Macaca fascicularis: one gene and its partners. The protein of the gene in region 4 purifies or fractionates together with the protein of the main gene of each other region. This does not show direct contact. Links are inferred from orthologs where the notes say so. Each region holds a gene or a part of one and is shown on either strand. Other genes may lie near its edges. The genes, in order: PHLPP1, PHLPP2, BTB/POZ domain-containing protein KCTD5, NHERF2, PLCB3 and LPAR2.

Evidence for each region.
Region 1: the proteins of NHERF2 (region 4) and PHLPP1 purify together in Homo sapiens (affinity purification with mass spectrometry; 3 studies listed by BioGRID and IntAct, with this or other methods). This does not show direct contact. The link is inferred for Macaca fascicularis from reciprocal best matches to the Homo sapiens genes NHERF2 and PHLPP1.
Region 2: the proteins of NHERF2 (region 4) and PHLPP2 purify together in Homo sapiens (affinity purification with mass spectrometry; 3 studies listed by BioGRID and IntAct, with this or other methods). This does not show direct contact. The link is inferred for Macaca fascicularis from reciprocal best matches to the Homo sapiens genes NHERF2 and PHLPP2.
Region 3: the proteins of NHERF2 (region 4) and BTB/POZ domain-containing protein KCTD5 purify together in Homo sapiens (affinity purification with mass spectrometry; 3 studies listed by BioGRID and IntAct, with this or other methods). This does not show direct contact. The link is inferred for Macaca fascicularis from reciprocal best matches to the Homo sapiens genes NHERF2 and KCTD5.
Region 5: the proteins of NHERF2 (region 4) and PLCB3 purify together in Homo sapiens (co-immunoprecipitation; 3 studies listed by BioGRID and IntAct, with this or other methods). This does not show direct contact. The link is inferred for Macaca fascicularis from reciprocal best matches to the Homo sapiens genes NHERF2 and PLCB3.
Region 6: the proteins of NHERF2 (region 4) and LPAR2 purify together in Homo sapiens (affinity purification with western blotting; 3 studies listed by BioGRID and IntAct, with this or other methods). This does not show direct contact. The link is inferred for Macaca fascicularis from reciprocal best matches to the Homo sapiens genes NHERF2 and LPAR2.

What each region holds. Positions count from the first base shown.
Region 1 is NC_088392.1:17,942,079-17,945,578, forward strand, and holds part of PHLPP1 (PH domain leucine-rich repeat-containing protein phosphatase 1), read right to left. Parts: intron 981-3,500; coding exon 834-980; intron 213-833; coding exon 1-212. UniProt on the Homo sapiens protein: Protein phosphatase involved in regulation of Akt and PKC signaling.
Region 2 is NC_088394.1:68,692,614-68,696,113, forward strand, and holds part of PHLPP2 (PH domain leucine-rich repeat-containing protein phosphatase 2), read left to right. Parts: intron 1-743; coding exon 744-890; intron 891-1,287; coding exon 1,288-1,518; intron 1,519-3,500. UniProt on the Homo sapiens protein: Protein phosphatase involved in regulation of Akt and PKC signaling.
Region 3 is NC_088394.1:3,481,181-3,484,680, reverse strand, and holds part of BTB/POZ domain-containing protein KCTD5, read right to left. Parts: intron 2,120-3,500; coding exon 2,028-2,119; intron 206-2,027; coding exon 110-205; intron 1-109. UniProt on the Homo sapiens protein: Its interaction with CUL3 suggests that it may act as a substrate adapter in some E3 ligase complex. Does not affect the function of Kv channel Kv2.1/KCNB1, Kv1.2/KCNA2, Kv4.2/KCND2 and Kv3.4/KCNC4.
Region 4 is NC_088394.1:2,797,847-2,801,346, reverse strand, and holds part of NHERF2 (Na(+)/H(+) exchange regulatory cofactor NHE-RF2), read right to left. Parts: intron 3,495-3,500; coding exon 3,294-3,494; intron 68-3,293; exon of another isoform or gene 1-67.
Region 5 is NC_088388.1:10,136,108-10,139,607, forward strand, and holds part of PLCB3 (1-phosphatidylinositol 4,5-bisphosphate phosphodiesterase beta-3), read right to left. Parts: intron 2,829-3,500; coding exon 2,588-2,828; intron 2,424-2,587; coding exon 2,339-2,423; intron 2,251-2,338; coding exon 2,064-2,250; intron 1,418-2,063; coding exon 1,212-1,417; intron 1-1,211. UniProt on the Homo sapiens protein: Catalyzes the production of the second messenger molecules diacylglycerol (DAG) and inositol 1,4,5-trisphosphate (IP3).
Region 6 is NC_088393.1:20,065,929-20,069,982, forward strand, and holds the start of LPAR2 (lysophosphatidic acid receptor 2), read right to left. Parts: upstream 2,801-4,054; 5' UTR 2,680-2,800; intron 2,488-2,679; exon of another isoform or gene 2,349-2,487; intron 2,227-2,348; 5' UTR 1,558-2,226; coding exon 816-1,557; intron 1-815. UniProt on the Homo sapiens protein: Receptor for lysophosphatidic acid (LPA), a mediator of diverse cellular activities. Seems to be coupled to the G(i)/G(o), G(12)/G(13), and G(q) families of heteromeric G proteins. Plays a key role in phospholipase C-beta (PLC-beta) signaling pathway.

The DNA of each region.
Region 1 (3,500 bases), on a different chromosome or scaffold from region 4:
TGTGAGGCATTTTTCTTAAAGCCTGTAGCCTAAGGGTCTCCATACAGTTTCCGGACATACAAAGTTTATCCACAGCAGTCAATTTCTCCAATACTTCTGGAATGTCAGTAAATTCATTGAAAGAAAGACCCAGATAACTAAGCTGCTTCATGTTCTCCAACTCAGCAGGAAGGGTTTGGAGAAAGTTTCCATCCAACAAAAATGTCTGTAAGCTATTAGAGAAAACATAAGAATTACAAAGAGAATGTATAAATTTTACATCTTTATTATCAACATACAAGTTCCATAGTGTAGATCGTATTACCAGAAAATGTATTACTCTTTGCAAAATGCCTAAGGGCAGGGCCTGAGGCAATAACGGACCAAAGAGAAATAATCAGAGATAAGCATCTTAATCTTTTATTGAAAATGAAAATTATGACTAGCTTTCCCAATCTGAATAGGCTTAAATGGGAGCAACATGAGCTAACTGTGATATAAATTGATTCAGATATCCTTTGGGCTTTCCTTATTATTTCTCAAAATTAATTTCTAAGTCTTTGAATTCAATATAACTCAGAAAAATGAGAACATAACCCACATTCCATGTTTAGACATACTCATTTGCAGGGATCTTCAGTTCTAAACAAGAATATTTAATTTTTTACAAGATCGTAAAGAATACAAATCTAACACATGAACTCCATACAGACTATACAGTCCCTGATCTGTTGATTTGGGGCCAAGACTTACATGACCAACATAACAAGTTAACTAATCTCATGTGCTACACCCCCAATGCAGCTTCCCTGGGGTCTCTGGATATACCCGCCAGTGGGGTTTGAGGTACACACTTGTGCATCACTCCAACGGCTGCTGGGACCGATCGCAGGGCATTGCAGGACACATTCAGCTCTGCCAGGGTTGGAATACTGCAGACTGCTAGTGGGAAGTCCCCTAAATGATTATTGGAAAGATTAAGACTCTTCAACTTGGTGAACCTATTAAAATAAAGCAAAACCAAAAGGGAAAAAAGAGACAAATGTCACTAACATCATAATTTTAGCATAGCCTAAGAGATAATCTAGCCCAACTCCCAAATTCAACTGAAGAGGAAATGGGGGCCCCAGAGAGGTTAAGGAGCAGCAGCGCTGGAATGCACATCTGCTGACTCTAAGGCCAGTGCTCTACCTAAAATGTAAACATTCTATCTAAAAACAAACTTTTCCCTCTAAAATAAGGTTGAATATTTCAGGAAGTGAATTCTGCTGGAGTAAGTTTTTTAGCAGTATCTCAATTAGCTTAATTAACACAGTGTAAATGGCCCCAGTGAAGGAGGAAAGGGACCAGTCAGAGCTGGAGTTAGTCCTTCTGGAATCTGTGCTGTTCCAGACAAGTCAAAAACTTCTGTTTCATGTTTCTCAAACCCAAAAGTGAAATAATAAAAACTTATCAAAACAATACTCTCTCTAAGGTAACCAGGACTTTGCAGTTCCAAATTTAACAACCAATTATCAGCTGGGCACGGTGGCTCAGGCCTGTAATCCTAGCACTTTGGGAGGCCGAGATGAGTGGATCACTTGAGACCAGGAGTTCGGGACCAGCCTAGACAACATGGTGAAACCCTGTCTCTACCAAAAACACAAAAAATTAGCTGGGCATGGTGGTGCATGCCTGTAATCTCAGCTACTCGAGAGGCTGAGACACAAGAGAATCTCTGGGAGGTGGAGGTTGCAGTGAGCTGAGACTGCTCTCCTGGAATATATAGCCTGGTGACACAGTGAGACTCTATCTCAAAAAAGAACCAATTATCATTCGTCGATCTCAGTACAGTAATTGACTGATGCGGCTGACCACCCACCCTTCTTCTTAGCTCTCTTAAGCCCTCTTCTCCTGTATTAACTTCCTTTTCTTCATCTTTTCTTCCCCAACTCAAACTGAAGTAATCTTCATAGATAGTTTTTTTTTTTTTTATCAGTTTCATGCTCTCTCTACACTGTTTTCCTTGGAAATGTTTTGACTCCTATGTGAACAATTCTCTCAGTCCTGTCACATGCTGGCTCCTCTCCTGAGCTACCCCACATTTCCAGCCCAAAACTGAACTTACCATCTTTATTCCAAACTGGCACTTCTTTTTGTTCTATTTTTGTTAATAGCCCTTTCATTTTCACAGTTGCCCAAGCAACTTAAGCAATTAAAGAAGCTATCTTTCATTTTTTACTTCTCTGTGCACTCTTACATTTGGCCTATCAACGACCTCTACACCATCTCTAAATGAGATAAGAATCAGATCAGTGACTGCGTTATGCTAATTCCTTTAAAAACTAGATTACCCACATCTAATACTAGACAGTATGCACTCTGCCTAGAAGAGACACACACACTGCAAAAATAAACGCAATTCAACCCAATCAGCATATGTTAAGCTGTATTCTAAATAGTTAAATAAAAGTTGATTCTAAAGGGAAAGTTGACAATGTACCTATTTGACAGGTTGAGTGTTACCTTGATTTTTAAATAATACCTGTTTACTTGGATGGCTGAGTATAATAGAATAGTATTTTAAAAAAAAAAATCACTTAGGAAAAAATTATTGCTAAATCTGAATAATCGTTCTTAAACTGTTTTATATTAGAGCCATCAGTCCTTCTTAAAAGAATGCTTATCCTCAGCCGGGTGCAGTGGCTCATGCCTGTAATCCCAGCACTTTGGGAGGCCAAGGTGGGCAGATCACTTGAGGTCAGGAGTTCAAGACCAGCCTGGCCAACATGGTGAAACTTCGTCTCTACTAAAAATACAAAAAAAATTAGCCAGCCATGTTGGCAGGCACCTGTACTTCCAGCTATGAAGGAGGCTGAGGCAGAAGAATTGCTTGAACCCAGGAGACGGAGGTTGTGGTGAGCCGAGATCATACCTCTGCACTCCAGCCTGGGCGACAGAGCGAGACTCTATCTCAAAAAAAAAAAAAAAACAAAAAACAAAAAACAAACAGCCTACCCTCTATTCTGATTATTTATAATCACCGCAAAAACACAAGCTAGAATTACAGTCTCTTATTCCTAGTCCAGTGATTCTAAAAGCATGCTTGGGGGACCCCAGAAGAGGCACCCGAGACCCTTTCAGAAGATCCATATGGTCAAACTATTTTTATAACAATACTAAGATGTTACTTGCTTTGTGCCACTTTCTTCCCCACACCTGTCACTCGTATTTCAGTAGAGTTCCAGACAGTACCTGCTTTTGTAATAGCACACCTGATGGAACACAGAAAGAGATATGAGAATCCAGCCAGATATTAAAAGAATCGCCAAAATAGAAAACAATGACACTCTGGCCGGGTGCGGTGGCTCACACCTGTAATCCCAGCACTTTGGGAGGTTGAGGCAGGTGGATCACCTGAGGTCAGGAGTTTGAGACCAGCCTAGCCAACATGGTGAAACCCTGTCTCTACTAAAAATACAAAAATTAGCTGAGCATGGTGGCGCGCGCCTGCAGTCCCAACTACTCAGGAGACTGAGGCA
Region 2 (3,500 bases), about 66 Mb from region 4:
TACTCCCTAGTGGAATTACCAGAGTCTCTCATAAAAAGTTCTTACTAATGAAACCTTTAACATCTTAATTATAATACAATGGATATCAAGAAGAAACCCAAGAGATCCATTTTATAACAATGCCATCTCTGGGTAAGACAATACAGATACTTCTACTTCCATGAACAAAATAGAAGCTCTAAAAGTTACTATTTTGTGTATCAGGTCACATAATGGTAAAATGCTGTCACATTCATTATTTTCAAGCTCTAACTGGTTTATTCATTTTATGTGACATTTGAGCCAACATAATTTCAGTATGAAAAAAGAAGTTGCTTATTAAAAATGGGATTTGATCTACATATTTGTTAGCTGTTGCTCTATGAGTTGATTAATTCTTGCAAGGCTTTTGTGTATTACATGTAGAAATTTAATGAAAAATTTCAAGCATATCAAGTATGATGAAATACAAAAGAATTATACCAGCATGAGCTGTTCTTCAAGATTGTCTACCTTTTTAAAGAGAAAAGAGAGCTGTAATGCTAGACCTGGTTTCCTTCATCACATGGACTGTGCATTAGTCATCTTGGTGTCCTCTGTCCCCACTCAATGTTTGATGTGTAGCGAGTGCTCAATAAGTATTTTTGGAATAAATTCTATTATAGACATTTAAAATGGATTATCAAAGGCCATTGATGTCCCTCGTAAAGATATAGTAATAGATGTATTGAAATGCAGTATCCATTTTTGCCTTTGCTCTTTAGATTTTCTCAGCTGAAGGGCCTGAACTTGTCCCATAATAAACTTGGGTTGTTTCCTATATTATTATGTGAGATCTCTACCCTGACTGAGCTCAACCTTTCCTGTAATGGATTTCGTGACCTACCAAGTCAAATTGGCAATCTGCTAAAGTAAGTAACTTTTACTAGATTCATCTTTTCCCTTGCAGGATAAGGAACTTGCCTGGGGTTTGGAATGAAGGTAGTACTGTGAGCTCTTGCAGTGAAATAAATCATGTACTTACTAGGATTCTAGTCAGCAGCAGTTTTTGACATCATAGATCTACCTGCCTGTAGCAGGGACTGATCCCTCAGCTTCAACAGCAGAGGTCTTAACTCTTTTAATGTTGGGGTGACCATTTGTGTAAGTTATGTGTAAGTCATCTATTAAGTCTGTATAGATGGAGAGTTAGGACACTACTATTTTTGGATTGATAATTAGTGACATAAATCAGAATCCGTAACTCTGATTCTATGCATTCCAGTGAAACCTTCCATAAAGTAGACTTGTTTTGTTTTCTTCCTGTAGTCTTCAAACCCTCTGTCTTGATGGCAACTTTCTGACTACTTTACCTGAAGAACTGGGAAATCTACAACAGCTTTCCTCTTTGGGAATTTCGTTCAACAACTTTAGTCAAATTCCTGAGGTTTATGAGAAACTCACTATGTTAGATAAAGTGGTTATGGCAGGAAATTGCCTGGAAGTCCTGAACTTAGGGGTGCTGAATAGGATGAACCATATCAAGCATGTGGATTTAAGGTAAGGTTATTCTTTACCGCAGCTTCCTTTAAATTGACTCTGTTGGACCTTTATGTCTTCTCTTTATGAAGATTTGTTTAAGACATTAGGGTTTTTAAAATTTTGTTGTCGTTGTTTTGAGACAAGGTCTCACTTTGTCACTCAGGCTAGAATACAGTGGCACGATCTCAGCCCACTGCAGTCTTGACCTCCTGTTCTCAGGCGATTCTCCCACCTCAGCCTTCCAAGTAGTTGGGACTTCAGGTGCGCACCACTAGGCCTGGCTAATTTTTTTTCTATTTTTAGTAGAGACAGGGTTTCACCATGTTGTGCAGGCTGGTCTCAAATTCCTGGACTCGAGCAGTCCACCCACCTCAGCCTCCCAAAGTGCTGGGATTACAGGTGTGAGCTGCCATGCCTGGCCCGTAACATTAGGTGTTTTGAACAGTATAGAAATGTGTATTTTCAAAGGTATAGTAAGACTTTAGTTATCATTCAGTAGCAGAGAGATTCAGGATCATGTAGTTGTACCATGTGATAGAGACTATCAAATTGCCTTGGACAGAGGTTGTTTTTGCTCACCTTCCCATCAATGTATATTTTTTATTTTTTAAATTTTTTGTAGAGATGGAGTCTCACTGTGTTGCCCAAGCTGGTCTTGAACTCCCTGGCTCAAGTAATCCTCCTGCCTTGGCCTCCTAAAGTGTTGGGATTACAGGTGTAAGCCACTGTGCCCAACCCCTCCAACATTGTAGGAGAATTCCCATTTTCTCATATCTTTGTCAGTGTTGGATTTTAGCATTTCTTTTTCTTTATCATCAGTCTAGTAGATTGAAACAAGTATTTCATTGTTTTAATCAACATTTATTTACAGAGCAGTGAGGTTGAACATCTTTTTATATGTATGTTAGTAGTTTGTAGATTTCCATAAATGACATTTTTCTGTTGAGTCATTAGGTTTCTTCTTGATATCCATTGTATTACAATTAAAATGTTAAAGGTTTCATTACTAAGAACCTTTTATGAGGGTTTTATTTTCTAGTCATAACCTTTTCCTAATTGAAGCTGGTAAAAAGACACCTATTGGGTGTTCTGTAATTTACAGTAAACCATTGATGACCTTGTAAAGACAGTAACAGAGAGTTTTTGTTTTTGTTTTTTTAACCACACTGGAGACTTGAGAGATTTATAGAAATACAGGAAAGTGAGAACAGACCTGCATAAATTAAATCATATACTTGTACAGAAAAGAACTCAGAGGTCATTTTGTATAATTTACCTTTGAACTCTTCGGTATATGTGTGTGTGTGTGTATATATGTGTGTGTGTATATGTATATATACATACACAGATTATTTCCTTGTCTGTTAATTAATTTTATGTGAACCTTAGCACTAGAGATAGAGCAGGCATAGCAATAGGAGGAAGTATGGTTCTATCCTTATACTCTGGACATGGTACTGTTGTGACTGTTTTGCTACTGTCTCACTCAAAAGGTTGTGTTCATCTTCCTGTTCCTTTGTCCTACTTAGTGCCCACCTGACCTTATTAGGTGTTTGGATATAAGTGTTTAACTTGTTCAGGATATGGCCTCTTTTTTCCTTCTCTTTATTAGTTTGTATATGTATTTGCCAATCTGGATTGTCTGACTTAGCTGTACCTTGAGTTATTCATCAACTGTAGTTATTTATATAGTATCTTGCAAAATGAGGCAAGTAGTGAAATTCTTAAATTGTTTAGGAAACAGAGAAAGGGAGCTGGGCACGGTGGCTGACACCTGTAATCCCAGCATTTTGGGAGGCCGAGGTGGGCAGATCATCTGAGGGTAGGAGTTCAAGCCTGGCCAACATGGTAAAACCCCATCCCTACTAAAAATACAAAAAATTAGCTGGGCATGGTGGGGGTGCCTCTAATCCCAGCAACTTGGGTGGCTGAGGCAGGAGAATCACTTGAACCCGGGAGGCGGAGGTTGCAGTGAACCAAGATCACGCCATCGCACTCCA
Region 3 (3,500 bases), about 680 kb from region 4:
AAGACGCCAGCAGCGAAGTCTGCATTTCCAGGAGCACTGAGCCCTGAGCCACTGTGAGTACAAGTTCAGCTGCAGCATGGCTGCCGCCAGCCTGGCCACGACCCCTCACCTGCTCAAACTTCCAGCCGTCAGACATGGTGGACACCATCTGCGTGAGCTCCTCCTCCTGGCATTGCAGCACGCGGTACACATGCTTCACAGGCACCTGCAAGAACAATGGGCACAAGTAAGGGCGGGCCACCCATGTCCCGCTGCTGCCTGTGGCCCCAGCCCAGGTGACCCAGGGAGGCTGAGGTTCACTCTCCAGTTCTCAGCGCAGGGCACGAGGCCCAAAGCAACCCTGAGCACATCCACAAAATCAAAACACGCGGCCCGAACAGCTGCTGTTTTCTGCTTCCTCGTTCGCCTCCAAAAATATTTCTATTTCTAAGTTCCAAAATAAAATGAGTCATGTTCCTGAAATCCCAAGAGCACCTGTGGCTCCACATGACGACACGAGAGCGTCCATTTCTGCTCCGCACGCAGGAACCATGCAGCCCTGAATTCACTGGTCAGGAAAGGCTCTGGCAGGCAGGGCCCTGAGAGCCAGTGGCAGACAAAGCTCACTCCCGGCTACCAGAAGAGGCTCCTGAACTTCCACAGCAGCCTGGACTCAGGCCTCCCCAAGGCTGCGCTGCTTCCCAAAACTCCATCCACCTCCTAATCCCCCACCTGCCTGGCACACTTGCTATGCCCCTCTAGGCAGCTGTGGTCCTGGAAGTGATGGTGAGCCACCAGGGCCACCCGCCTGCATGGAGCTGCTCCCCAGTGGGCAGGGCGGCCCCATGTCCCAGACACAGTCATTACAGAGGACTCCGGCTGCAGACAGAGCTGGATGGAAACACAGCAGTGAGAAAGGGTTCAGGGATCCTTGGTCCTTGACCTTAAGATGGTGACTCATGCCAGGGATGTATGAGTGACAAAGGCACACAGTGGCCTCGAGGTCACACAACCGAGTGCCTTCTTCTGCAAGACAGTAAGATGCTACTGTGTGTCACAGCAAGACTGGACTGCAAGGACTCTCCCACCTGCACCATTTCTCACCCACCTGCGTCATACGGGCAGGTAGACTGAGGCAGGGAGCACCCACACAGCCCGGTCACACAACAGGGAAAAAAGCAGGCTGGACAAGGTGACCCAGGGTGTGGGACACAGCTCCTGCCCCACAGATAAGGAGCCCCTCCAGATCCCTCAGTGGTGCCAAGGGAACTCCAGCAGGAGGGGGAACTGGGCATGTCGCTAGGTGGCCAGTGGCCCTGAGCGGCCAGGCTAGGAGTCTCTGCATAGGGCCCAGGGCTCTAAGTGGACCGAGACTTCTGATGGCAGCTACAGCCACAGTGTGGCCCACACCCACTCCTGGTGCCTTCCCAAGGATGCTAAGCTGGGGCCGGGGCAGGCTCAGCTCTCAGGGACAAGACTGATGCCCAAGGCCCAGCAGTGGCCCCTCCACAGGAGGTACTGGGCACAGCCCACCAACAACCTGGGCTCCCCGGGCTGCAGAAGGGCTGCGCTAGGTGTGAGAGGTCTGTCTGTGGCGACTCGCCCCTCTTCCCAATAAAACCAAGGTCCTTCTGACGCCTGTGCAGATCCACATGACCCCTCTGCTGTCTCCCTCCAGTCATGCTAGCTGCAGGCCCTTGGCACCCTCTGCTCCCTACAAGATGCCATCCACCTCAGGGTCTCCCCGACCAGCCCTCATGGGGCCCTCCTTCCCTCCACGCGTCTCCCATGCCCAACTGCCTTACAACCATCCTTTGGGGGCTCCCAGAGGCTGGGCCGGGCAGGCTGAACGGATCCTTCAAGGGACCCTGGGGCGAGGCTGTAGACGGAGCTGGCGGGCACTGGGGTGGTGACAGAGGACAAGGGTCTCAGGGCAGGGGAGCCCCAGACTGCAGGACTCATGTGGGAGGCAGCCGATCGGGGGAGTAAGAGGGAGCCATTCCTTCACACCAGCCATAAAAGTTTCTAGCCTTAGTTATTTCTCTTACCTGTGATGTTTTGCTGTCTCGTTCTCTAATTTTGTCCTTTACAAGTTTTATTAACGAGGTGATATTGTAAAATTCTGCTTCCTCCAATACTCCTGGAATAAAGAAAAATAAATTGTCTATACTAAACCAAACGAAACCAAAGAATCCCCTGCAATGAGGACCCATGGCTCGGCCCAGCGTGAGCTGCTCAGGCCCCATCCTAACAGGCTTCCTGCAGACACGTTAGCCCTGCGGGGTTCCAGGATTATGGGTGGAGGGGCTGTGGCGAGAGGGCCGACGTGTGGACTAAATACCTCCAGCTCAGGTCACCCTAGGCAACTTCGAGCAACCTCCAGTGGCCCGCCAGGTATGGAGTCGCTGGTTACATGCAGCTCAGTGCATGCCTAAACTGAGGCCACGGCATGCAAGGGGTGGGATCTGGCATTTTCCCTCCAAGCCTGGAGGCCAAGGCTTCCTGTTGGGAACCTGCTCACGGCCACGCCACTGGGTGGGGTGCTGTGTGGGGCTCAGGCCTGCAGCCTTGTGCATATGTCTCAGTCACCTGGCACCTCAGTTTACCCCATTCAAAGGGAAGACTGTGGCTGGCTGAGAGGGTCACTTCCAGCTCTTCCCAAAGTCTGCCATCCTAAATGTGCCGCATTAGGGACTGCACACCTCCCTTAAGAGCCTTAAGAGCAGATTCCACAGGTCTAGCCTCAGGGCTTCCTCATGGGTGGTCTCCAGAGGAACCCACACATGGGACATGGCAGCTCAGGACAACACCCCGCCACCTACATAGCACAGGGCCACACAGGATAGAGATGAGAGCCTCAGAGTCACAGGCTTCCCAGCCCTGCACGGGTCCCGCACAGCCCCCTTGTCCAGCACCGAGGGCGAGTGGCTGCGTCGGAGGCGGGTTAGAGGCGGGCCAGCGAGCCCAGGCGGTTTGTGTCTAGCGCCTGTTTCTGAGCCAATCCCACTAGGGGCAGACTGAGATAAAGTGAAGCCTGGACTCAAACGGCTCCATGGCAGAACACAAGGGGCTGCCCAGGTGACCAGAGAGAGCGCATATGAAAGACATTGCCTGCCAAAAAGACAGGAGTGGGCAGCGTGGGTCACAGTCTCAGAGCGGGAGCAGGGCTGGGCCACAGCTCCCGTCACCCCGCGCCCCGCGTGAACTCGGAGGAGGCAGGCAGATGCCGAGGCCCAGAGACCCAGAGCAAAAACGGAGTGAGACGCTGCCCAGTACAGACCGATGCACAGACACGGACGCCGGGGAGCAGGGCCACGCCTGCACGCAGGTGCCCAGAAACCCTCAGTCTTCATGGCAAGGCCTCGGGCTGTTCTGAGCCAAGCCAGCACTACAGCACACAGGCAGGCCAGCCTGGGCCCACGCGTGTGGGTGCCGTCCCTGCACCACCACCACTCAGAATGGAACACGGCAGCTGGCAGCAGCAGGCACAGTCCAGGTGATGGCACAGAGATACCACCCTT
Region 4 (3,500 bases):
GCGCGCCATGGCAGCAGTACAGCGGCAGTGAGTGGCAGGCGTCCGGCCGGGGTGGCCTGAACTCTCTGGCTGACCCAGGCTGCCACCCCACTTATCTACCTCCCTCTGCGGCCCCGGCTCCCCGGGGATGGGTGGAGACGCAGGGGCTGAGTCACTCTGGGGAGCAGGGTGATGACTGAGCCCACTCCCCTTAGAAGGCTCCAGCCCGGCGCCCCCCACCCAGCTAGGTTTCCGTCCCAAGAAAGGAAGGAAGGAAGCTGCTGGAAGGCCCTGCCCGCCCCAGGACCCAGGGCTGGGGGGACAGGGAGGAGTCCCAGCCCCAGAACACAGGACTGTCATGCTGAGGTTCCAGAGGAACAAGAGCCATAGGAGCCCGGAAGCCCCCACAGGCACCGCGCCCTAACCACACAGCCGCCTCCCGCAGATCTGTCACCCCTCACCTGCTCTTAGCCCCCAAGGCCCTCCAGACGGAGGTGGAGACTGGGCTAGGGGCAGGGGGCAGAGGGCTCAGGGTCTGCCACCACCTCTAGGGCCTGGCACCGCTGGCCACCCGTCTCTGTTTGGGGGCCGTCCCCTGTCATCACTACTAGGATCAGCTGCACCGCAGCTGCGGCCACCCCCAGCCTGCTGTGGCCCAGGGCTGAGTCATCACTAACTAGGCGTTCATGACCCCCAAAAGGAGTGGCTGACCACATCAGTGTCCTCCCCTGCCCACCTCCCCTATCCCCAGCCAGGACAGAGGACACTGAGAACCACCCTTAGCTCCCAGGGGGCACCCAGAGTTGGGCCCTCTCCATCCTGCACCAAAGCCAAGCTACATACCCTCCCAGGGCTCTGCCTCTCTGCCACCACCGCCCCCACTGGAGCCATCCCCGCAAGGTAGGCTTTGCCCTCCTGGGCTCCCTGAGCATCTCAGGCACACCCTGAACCCAGGCTGAGCAGGGCAGGATCTGAACCTGCTCTGCGGAGGTCCAGTGAGCCCCAATTCTTCCTGTCCACGCTGGGAGCTCAGGTGAACAAACCTCAGGGCTCGAGCCAGGCGCGGTGGCTCACGCTTGTCACTCCAGCACTTTGGGAGGCTGAGGCAGGCAGATCACTTGAGCCCAAGAGTTCCAGACCAGCCTGGCCAACACGGTGAAACCCCGTCTCTACTAAAAACACAAAAATTAGCCAGGTATGGTGGTATACGCCTGTAATCCCAGCTACTCGGGAGGCTGAGGCAGGAGAATGGTGTGGACCCAGGAGGTGGAGCTTACAGTGAGCTGAGATCCGGCCACTGCACCCCAGTCTGGGCTACAGAGCGAGACTCTGTCTCAAAAAAAAAAAAAAAAAAAAAAGAAAGAAAAGAAAAAGAAACCTCAGGTCTCGATGCCAGAAGACAGAAGGGGAGACCCTGCTCCTTGGGTGTCCCCTGACCTCCTGGAGCCCCTGTCCCCAGCCAGACTCATGCACAAAGGGACCTGCCACTCAGGCCACCCTTTGTTCCTCTAAAAATATACCCAGAGGAAGCTCCTCCTAGGGCTTCCTGCAGCCCCCAGAGCCTGAAATAGCAGACGGGGGAAGGTCCCACCCAAGGCAAGGTGCCTCGGCCACCGCACCCTCCAGATAAAGTCCGAGGGCCAGATTTTTCCACAGGAAGGTGAACCATGCATTTGTGTCCAAATCAATGGACAAACGCCTGAGGTAGAGGCGGAGCTTCCTCCTGGGGGAGGCAGGGTGCCTGGGAAAGAGGGAGGCCCCAACCCTCAACTTGGAGATAGGGGCCTGGGACCAGCCTGCTCCCCTGCAAGGCCAGCCCCCCAACCAGCCCTGGGCTGGGCACCTTGGCCCTGAGCACGACCATGGCCTGCCCTCAAGCCCCAGGAACAAAACGGGTCCCACAGGTCCCATGGCCAGGCCTGTGCCCCCTCCCCACAGGGAATGCCGTCTCCCTGCCAAGACATGCCCCCGCCGGGCTCAGCTCCCAGGCACAGCCAGCTCCAGGAGTGATACTTGGGAAAGGGAGAAAGTGAATATATAGATCCCCTGCACCCTCAGAAACTCGAGATCCCACACCCCTGCCTCAGGCACGGTTCTCACAGTGGGGTCTGGCCAACCCCTGGACTCAAATCCCCTGAAGGGATTTATTTCTTTTCTTTTCTTTTCTTTTCTTTTCTTTTCTTTTGAGACAGTCTCGCTCTGTCCCCTAGGCTGGAGTGCAGTGGCAGGATCTTGGCTCACTGAAACTGCTGCCTGCCGAATTCAAGCAATTCTCCTGCCTCAGCCTCCCGAGTAGCTGGGACTACAGGCGCCCGCCGCCAAGCCCAGCTGATTTTTGTAGTTTAAGTAGAGACGGGTTTCACCACATTAGTCAAGCTGGTCTCAAAACTCCTGACCTCAGGTGATCCGCCTGCCTCGACCTCCCAAAGTGCTGGGATTACAGGTGTGAGTCACCGTGCCCGGCCAGGGATGTCTTTGAAAATGAAAAAAAAGGTAGGAGAGCATGGAGACAATGCCATCAGGGCCTCCAGGAAGACAGGACAGACAGTTTCAGGCTGTTCCTCCTAGCCCTCAAGGCCTGCCAGGTGGCCCCTCCCAGCGGCCACCTAGCAGGAGGTGGAGCAGGCGGCCCCTGTACTTTTCTGGGTCTCCTGGCTGGGAGCAGGGGCAGGGGAAGGAGGAAGTGCTACCCAGCAGGAGCCCAGAAGGAACAGCAGACAGGGTCCCAGGGCCCTCCCTTATATTTAGGGGAGGAGTGGGCTCACCTTGGAGCCACCTGGACCCCCCAACTCCACTCCCATGCTCCCAGCCCCACCCATGCCAGGCCTGGCAGAGTGGCCTCCTAGGCTTCCCCAACCTGCAGAGGCGGCCAGCCCTCTCCCAGGCCTTCCCAGCATACAGGCTCCTTGGAGAGAGACAAGGACAGAGCCACGGATGACACCCAACACAGGCACGGAGCTGGGCACACGCAGACCTAGAATGTCTATTCCCAGGGCTCCTCAGCCATGAGGCTGGGGGCTGGGGAGGCGGCAGCTTGTCACAGTAACCCCTCGATAGGGCAAGGGGCTCTGGAGCGTCCTGGAGAAGAGGAACAGGCTAGGCTGCCCTGACCCTACCCAGTTTAAAACACAGGCTGAGGGTAGAAAGAGTGGCCCCCAGTAGCCAACAGGATGGTCCCTGGGGCAGAAAAGGGGCCCCAAAAGGCAGAAGAGACCAAGACTTCTGGAGGTGATCAGAGGCAAAGATGGTCGTCGAAAGCCGAGAGAGCCTCTGGGAGAGGCGAGGGTGGTCCCTGCGGGCCGAGCCCGCCATACCTTCTTGCCAGCGTCGGAGCTGCGGCCACCCATGTGTGCCCAGTCTGGCTTTGGCTCCCAGGGGTCGTGGGCGGGCGGGAGCCCTCGCTGGGCCATCTCCTCAGTGCAGGTCAGCTGCCGCCGGCGGAGCTCCTCATCTGTCTCCTGGTCCACCACCAGCAACCGGGTCTGCCCCTCCACAGCCTTGATCCTCTGCACCACCTGGGG
Region 5 (3,500 bases), on a different chromosome or scaffold from region 4:
TAATTTTAGTAGAGAGGGGGTTTCACCATGTTGGCCAGGCTGGTCTTGAACCTCCTGACCTCAGGTGACTCGCCCACCTCGGCCTCCCAAAGTGCTGGGATTACAGGTGTGAGCCACCTCGCCCAGCACATATAGGTGTTAAAATTATTACTTTTACTGAATCATTTGGGAGTAAATTACAGACATCATGACCCTTTACCCATAAATACTTCAGCATATATGGACATTCTCTTATATAACTCCAATACAATAATTAAATTCAGGAAACAAAACATTGACATATTATCTAATATGTAGTTCATCTTTAAATTTCACTAATTGCCCCAGTAATTGTCTTTATAGCAATGTCTTTTTTTTTTTTTTTTTTTTTTTTTTGAGACAGAGTCTCCTTTTGTAGCCCAGGCTACAAAATCGTAGCAACGGCGCGATCTCAGCTCACTGCAAGCTCCACCTCCCAGGTTCAAGGGATTCTCGTACCTCCGCCTGCCGAGTAGCTGGGATTACAGGTGTGAGCCACCATGCCCGGCTCAGATTTTTTTGGAGACGGAGTCTCGCTCCGTCGCCCAGGCTGGAGTGCAGTGGCCAGATCTCAGCTCACTACAAGCTCCGCCTCCCGGGTTCACGCCATTCTCCTGCCTCAGCCTCCCAAGTAGCTGGGACTACAGACGCCCGCCACCTCGCCCGGCTAGTTTTTTGTATTTTTTAGTAGAGACGGGGTTTCACCGTGTTAGCCAGGATGGTCTGGATCTCCTGACCTCGTGATCCGCCCGTCTCGGCCTCCCAAAGTGCTGGGATTACAGGCTTGAGCCACCGCGCCCGGCCCAGACTGGTTTTTTCTATACCACTCCTCACAGCTACTCAACGCTCCCCGCTCCTGCACCCCCTGGCTCTGCCCTAGGACCTTTGCACATGCTGTCCCCCTTCCTGAGCTCTGCCAGCCCCACCTCCCTGCCCAGGGCTGCCCTCTGCCAGTTCTGTGCCCTAACTCACACCTCCCAGGCCACATCACCAGGAGAACTGTATGCTTGTTTCCATTCCTGATGACTGAAGACCCCTCCTCCCACCTTCACTCACACCCACACTGAGCCCCAGGGCGCAGGGTGATGTCGGTCTTGGTGGTGGTCAGACCCTCAGCCCCCAGTGGAGGTAATAAACTGCTTGGGAGGTAAATAGATGCTACCTCCCCGACCTGCCCGCCCTCTGGGCCTGACCTCATCTGTGGTCGGCTTTTTGGGGTCTGTCTGCTCCTCCTCTTCCTCATCTTCCTCCTCATCCTCACGGTCAGCAGGTCCAAGAGCATAGGGGCCCCGGTTCAGGCCCTCCTCACCCAAAGACTTCCGAGGCTCCAGGCTGGGCTTCTCAAGGGCCCCCTCCTCCCCGTTGCTCAGGCCTGGGCAGCTGTCAGAGCTGGGTGACCCTGCAGAGGACAGGGCCACAAGGTCAGGGGTCAGGACCACACAGCTGCTTAGGAAGCGTGGAGGGGTTTTTCCCAGTGTGTGCAGGTGACTCAATGGGGAATTCAAGGGGTACTCTCAGAGAAGTGTGGCTTGGGGAGAGGCCAAGAGGTCAGGGGTCAGACAGTATTAAATCCAGTAGTGGTTGAGAGGGGTCATAGGTCAAAGGTAAAGGTCTGGGGTGATATTCAGCAGGGAGGCAGATAGGGTGGTTCAGTAGGGTGAGAAGTCAGGAAGTAGGGTACCCCAGCCTTAATAGCGGGGTAAGAGATGACACAGAGGGGTTACAGGTCACGGGTAAGTCACAGCCATGTCTAAGGAGGGGGCATAGTGAGGTGAATCGTCAGGGGTAAGAGGTCAGAGGTGAGCTGAAATGATAACTAACTGGGCAGGTGGACTCAATGCAGCTCGGTGAGGCATGCACCTGAGGTCAGGGGTCAGAGGCCCCACACCAGCCAACAGGTGGTGAGGAGAGAGGCCAGTTGTGGGAACAGGTGCACAGCGAGGCGGGAGGGTGGGCTGGGGGTCTGGGATGAAGTGTCACAGCGCCGACAGCATGAGGCCAGAGGCTGGGGTCAGGTCAGGGTGGCGGGCCAGGCTGGGGCCTACCAAGCTGCGGGGAGGAGGGCTCAGTGGCAGCGGAGCTCTCGCTCAGGGCCGAATTGCTCTGCTCCAGCGGCCGCTTGCGCCCGGCGCTGTCTGGGCCACCTGTGCTGGGTCTGTGCCGCTTCTTGTTCTTCACCAGGATACGGCCCATCAGGTCCTGGGGGCTGGGCAGGGGAACACCTGGGGCCAGCTGGGCAGGCATGGACGAGTCAGGGCCCTGGACCAGGTCCACAGCACCGTGGCCCGCATACCCCCACCCTCGCTCTGAGCCCCCGTACCGGGTACTTGTCCAGAGGCTCGATGAGTAGCGCATCTCCAAAGATGGAGCGGCAGTACTCAGCCATCTTTGCCTGCTGCTTTGCCCTGCGGAGCCGAGGTCAGAGATCAGAGGTCCCTAGGGGAAACTGGGGTCTACAGGACAGGTCAGTGGCGGTTCACAGGGTTGGAGGTCCCTGAGCAGTCCAACAGCGCTGAGGCGGGAGGGCTGTCCCTGGGTCCATGGGGTTTCATGCCAGGGGCTCACTCACGAGTCCACGTGGTTCTCGAAGGAGAGGATGACGGGGTAGGGCGAGGTCTTGAAGGCAGTCTCGGCAATGGCCTCCAGCACGTCGCGCAGAGGCACCTCCGTGGTCATGGTGAAGCCATGGGTGATGAAGGGTTCCTCCTCGGGCGGCCGTCCTTTCCACACATCCAGCTCCACACAGCGGCAGCCCCACAGCAGCACCTGGCGGTACATCTCCACCGACGAGGTCCCGGCCAGCTGCCCAGCTAGGGGCAAGGCTCTGTCACCAAGGCCGCCCACCAGCCCAGCTCCTCACCATCCCGGCCCCACCCGGAACCAGGCCATGCTGGATTTGCAGAGGGCTCTCCATCTCTCAGATGGATACCCACCACCTGACCATCCCACCAGCGTGAGCTGGGGGAGTCATCCCCGAGGCTCACTATAGCTCCCCACTGACTCAACAATCGCCCCTCTCCTCCCTCCCTCCACCCATCTCGGCCCTGGCACAGCTCACACCACTTCCTGTGTGGAAGGCTCAGGCCTCCCTGCCTCCAATCCAATCTCTCTGTCTTTGTTTTTTTTCTGAGACCGAATCTCACTCGGTCACCCAGGCTGGAGTGCAGTGGCAGGACCTTGGCTCACTGCAACCTCCGCCTCCTTGGTTCAAGCGATTCTCCTGCCTCAGCCTCCCTAGTAGCTGGGATTACAGGTGCCCACCACTATGCCTGGTTAATTTTGGTATTTTTAGTAGAGACAGGGTTTCACCATGTTGGCCAGGCTGGTCTCAAACTCCTGACCTCAGGTGATCCACACACCTCAGCCTCTCAAAGTGCTGGGATTACAGGCGTGAGTCACTGCTCCTGGCCTGAATCCAGTCTCTACAGAGCACCTGGAATCATCCTTCTAAGAACATATCATATCAGATCACATCACCTCTT
Region 6 (4,054 bases), on a different chromosome or scaffold from region 4:
ACCCCATCTCTACCAAAAATACAAAAATTAGCCAGGCGTAGTGGCATGCACCTGTAGTCCCAGCTACTCAGGAGGCTGAAGCAGGAGAATCACTTGAACCTGGGAGGCAGAGGTTGCAGTGAGCCGAGATTGCGCCACTGCACTCCAGCCTGGGTGACAGAGCGAGACTCAGTCTCAAAATAATAATAATAATAATAATAATAATAATTTAAAAATACATATAGATTAAAAAATAATTTAAAGGCTTTTTGTTAAACCAGGCTTAGCACTGCTAAAAACTTTTTTTTTTTTGAGATGGAGTTTCAAAAACCTCCACCTCACCTGGCTAATTTTGTATTTTTAGTAGAGACGGGATTTCTCCATGTTGGTCAAGCTGGTTGCCAACTCCCAACCTCAGTTGATCCGCCCGCCTCAGCCTCCCAAAGTGCTGGGATTACAGGCGTGAGCCACTGCACCCGGCCAGCACTGCTAAAAACTCTCAAGGGCTTCCCACGAAACTCAAAATATGACTCCTGTCTGTGCCCCTTAAGGCCTTGCCGAACTCTCCTCCTCACAAGCCCGCTTTCCTCTTTAGAGGCTCTGGCCTGGTACTGCCTTTAGGTTTTTACTTTGTTTCCTCTGCCTGGAACTCTCTCTGTTCCTATCCTCAGCATTCAGGCCTCTGCTCATATATGACCTCCCTGGAGAACATTCCCCACCTAAGTCTTCCCCCTATCACCCTCTATCAGGTAGCTTGTTTTGTTAATTGCTTCGAAGCATCTTGTGGGAAACAGGGGGAAGCAGGGTGCCTGTTGCCCCCTGAGGGCCCCACTCACCCAGGATGATGACGACAGTCTTGACCAGGCTGAGCGTGGTCTCTCGGTAGCGGGGGTGGCAACTGACGTGCTCTGCCATGCGCTGCACTCGCCGCCGCACGTAGAAGAAAATGCGGGTGTAGACAGCCACCATGAGAAGAAAGACAAGCAGGCTCGACAGAGCCCAGACGGCCAAATAGGAGCGGCTGAGCAGGGGTGCCATGCGCGAGCAGCGGTCCAGGGCACAGAGGCAGTGCCAGGAGTGGGCGGGCAGCAGCCCCAGGCCCAGGGCAGCCACCCACACGCCCACAATGAGCATGACCACGCGGCCACGGGGCAGGCGGCTGTGCAGCTGCACGGCCATCACACTGCGGTGCCGCTCCACAGCGATGGCCAGCAGTGTGGCCACCGACGCAGTGAGGCTTGTGTCCAGCAAGCCCTGCCGCAGGAACCAGCCCTCAAGTGAAAGTCGGGCTGTGCGGGGACCAGTGTGGAACATGAGGAAGAGGTAGGCCACGCCCGCGAAGAGGTCAGCTGCGGCCAGGTTGCCTAGCAGGTAGTAGATGGGCTGGTGGAAGCGGCGGTTGGAGGCGATGGCTGCTATGACCAGGAGATTGGTGAGCAGCACCAGTACGCTGACGGTCAGCCCCAGTGCCACCACGACCACATCCTTGGGCCGCCAGTGAGAGCTGAGCTCCTTGCCACTGTTGTTATAGAAGAAGCCAATGGTCTCGTTGTAGTAGCAATGGCCCATGGTGACCATCTGGGGACACAAGAGATCAGTGCATGTGGCGCTTCTTGGAAGGACACAGGGAGGGGCGGCAGCTACAGAGGACAAGGAAGGACAAGGGTCTTGAATTCAGATGCCTCAGAGCAAAGTGGCAGTGGTGAGGACCACGGTAGCCTGGAAAAAGCAAGCTCCATGGGGCTGGGGTGGGGGTGGAGGAGCTGCTGTTTCTTACCTACTAATAAGACCTGTGTCAAGACATAACCCAAGTCAACAGGGTTTTGAACCAGAAGAAGTGAAACAAAACCCATGTATGGTCGAATCCCAGCCCACCTGCCGCCAATGTGTGACCCGGTTTGGGCTGTAGGGAGAGGCAAGACAAAGGGGTGTGAGCTGCGGGACGAGATGAGGGAGGGTCACTTAGGTGCTGGAGTCAGTGTGGGGAGCAGAGACCCGGGAGCATGTGCCCACAAGAGTGAGGTCACTTGCTAGGACCCTGCGAGGGAGCGGTGCCGAGGCGTGGAGGTGATCGGAGTGGACAGAGAGTCGGTCCCAGAAGTTGGTCTGCCGGATTTGGGCGCGAGTGCTTCCCAAGCGGGCGGGGCAATAGGCTGTTCCGGGTGGGACGGAGGACACTGGCGGTCTCCGGGACAAAGACAGCGGTTGGGGAAGGGACAGCTGGCCGGGCCTCCAGGCGTCTCCAGACTGGGGAAGGGGTAGGGGGTTCAGGGATCAGGGGGCGGCGTCCTGGCCCCGCAGGCACGTGCCGCGCCCTTCCCCCCGGCCCAGGCCCGCACCCGCCCGCCTCCCGTCCGTGCCGGCCTCACCTGGGCCTCCCGTCACGCCGCAGATAAGGCGGGCTCGCGGGGGTTCGGGGCGGGCTCGAGGCCCATGGCCCGGCGACCGCGGCGGGAGCGGTGGAGCGTCCGGGTGCGCCCTGCGTGGGCTGCTGAGAGGGCGCGGGAGGCGGGGTCTCCCCGGCGCCCCGCCCCTGCCACCTGGGGGAGTCCCGCCCTGCCACCTGGGGGAGCCCCGCCTCCGCGGCCGCGTCGGGGGCGGTGTCGCCCGGAACCGCAGCCCCCCTATTTCCTCCCCGCCTCGCGGCCCCTCGGTCGCCTCTATTTCCGGCGCGGGACCCCCACCCCGGCCCCTGCACACCTCACGCGCCCGCAGTTTCGAGCCTGCGGGGCTGAGTCACCCGGCGACCCCAAAATTCCCGCCGCGACTCCGCGCAGCCCGGGCGGAGCTCCAGGTGGTCTTGGGTCCGCGCCCCTTCTCCGGACCCCCAACCCTCCCAGCCCCACCCCGCTCTCTTCTTCGTGTCCAATGGGCCGCCGAGTTACAAGCCACTCCCTGATCCGACTTGGCTCCCACCGCCCGGACCCCCGCCCATCCTCGGCTTTCCCAGCTCGCAGCTACAGCGCGCCGCGGCCTCCTGTGCGAGGCCCACGCCTGCGGCCCCAGCTGATCATCGGGCGCAAACTAGGGTTTTGCAATCCCGCCCCCGTACCCCTCACCCTGGGACAGCGCTGCCCCCTGCAAAGCCCGGCCCTGCCCTGCCCTGTGGCTTCCTCCCTCCGCCTCCCTGCGGCGGCCCCGGGCTCCCACGGTCCGGAGCACACAGCCCCATTGTCCCGGTTATCTGCACTTTGTTATACTGTATTTGATTATGCAGGACCAGATCGGGGACGCAGAGCTCCGGGAGGGCCGGGCTGGCGTGACTCAGCCGGGTGCTGCGGCCCAGCCCCAACTGCCTTTAGGTAGATGCTGCAGGGTGTTTGATGATGCAAGAAGGAGGCCTTGAGGCCGGGCGCAGTGGCTCACACCTGTAATCCCAGCATTTTGGGAGGCCGATGCGGGCGGATCACGAGATCAGGAGATCGAAACCATCCTGGCCAACATGGTGAAATCCCGTCTCTACTAAAAATACAAAAAAATTAGCTGGGCGTGGTGGCGTGCGCCTGTAGTCCCAGCTACTCGGGAGGCTGAGGCAAGAGAATCGCTTGAACGCGGGAGGCAGAGGTTGCAGTGAGCCGAGATTGCACCACTGTACTCCAGCCTGGGCGACAGAGAAAGACTCTGTCTCAAAAAAAAAAAAAAGAGGTCTTGATTCCCGTGATCGGTAAAACGGGGGAAAGGAGTGCTGCCCGTGCTGGCCTCTCCCCTAGCAGAGATGCACCCAAGGGCATACAGGACAGAGTTTATTAGAGGCCATCAGACCCCAGGCACCACCAGGATGTGGAGTCTGCACTGCCCACCTCCTCCAGGAAGGTCACTTCGAGTCCACCAAGGGGGCAGGCAGGTGTGGGGGAGTGACCACAACCAAAGTAGCAAAAGCACCCCTGTCCCAGGGGTGGGAGACTAGGGTGAACCCCCAGGATCTCATAACCTGTATTGACCCTGAGTATTGACCCTGAGTGACCTCTGAGCCTGAGTGGCCCTGATGCTTGGCAGTGACCTGTGTCCAGTTGGGGGATTCCAGGACATTGCCCCCGAAAGGGTTTTAGGCCTCCCATAGGCCATGTATTAAATA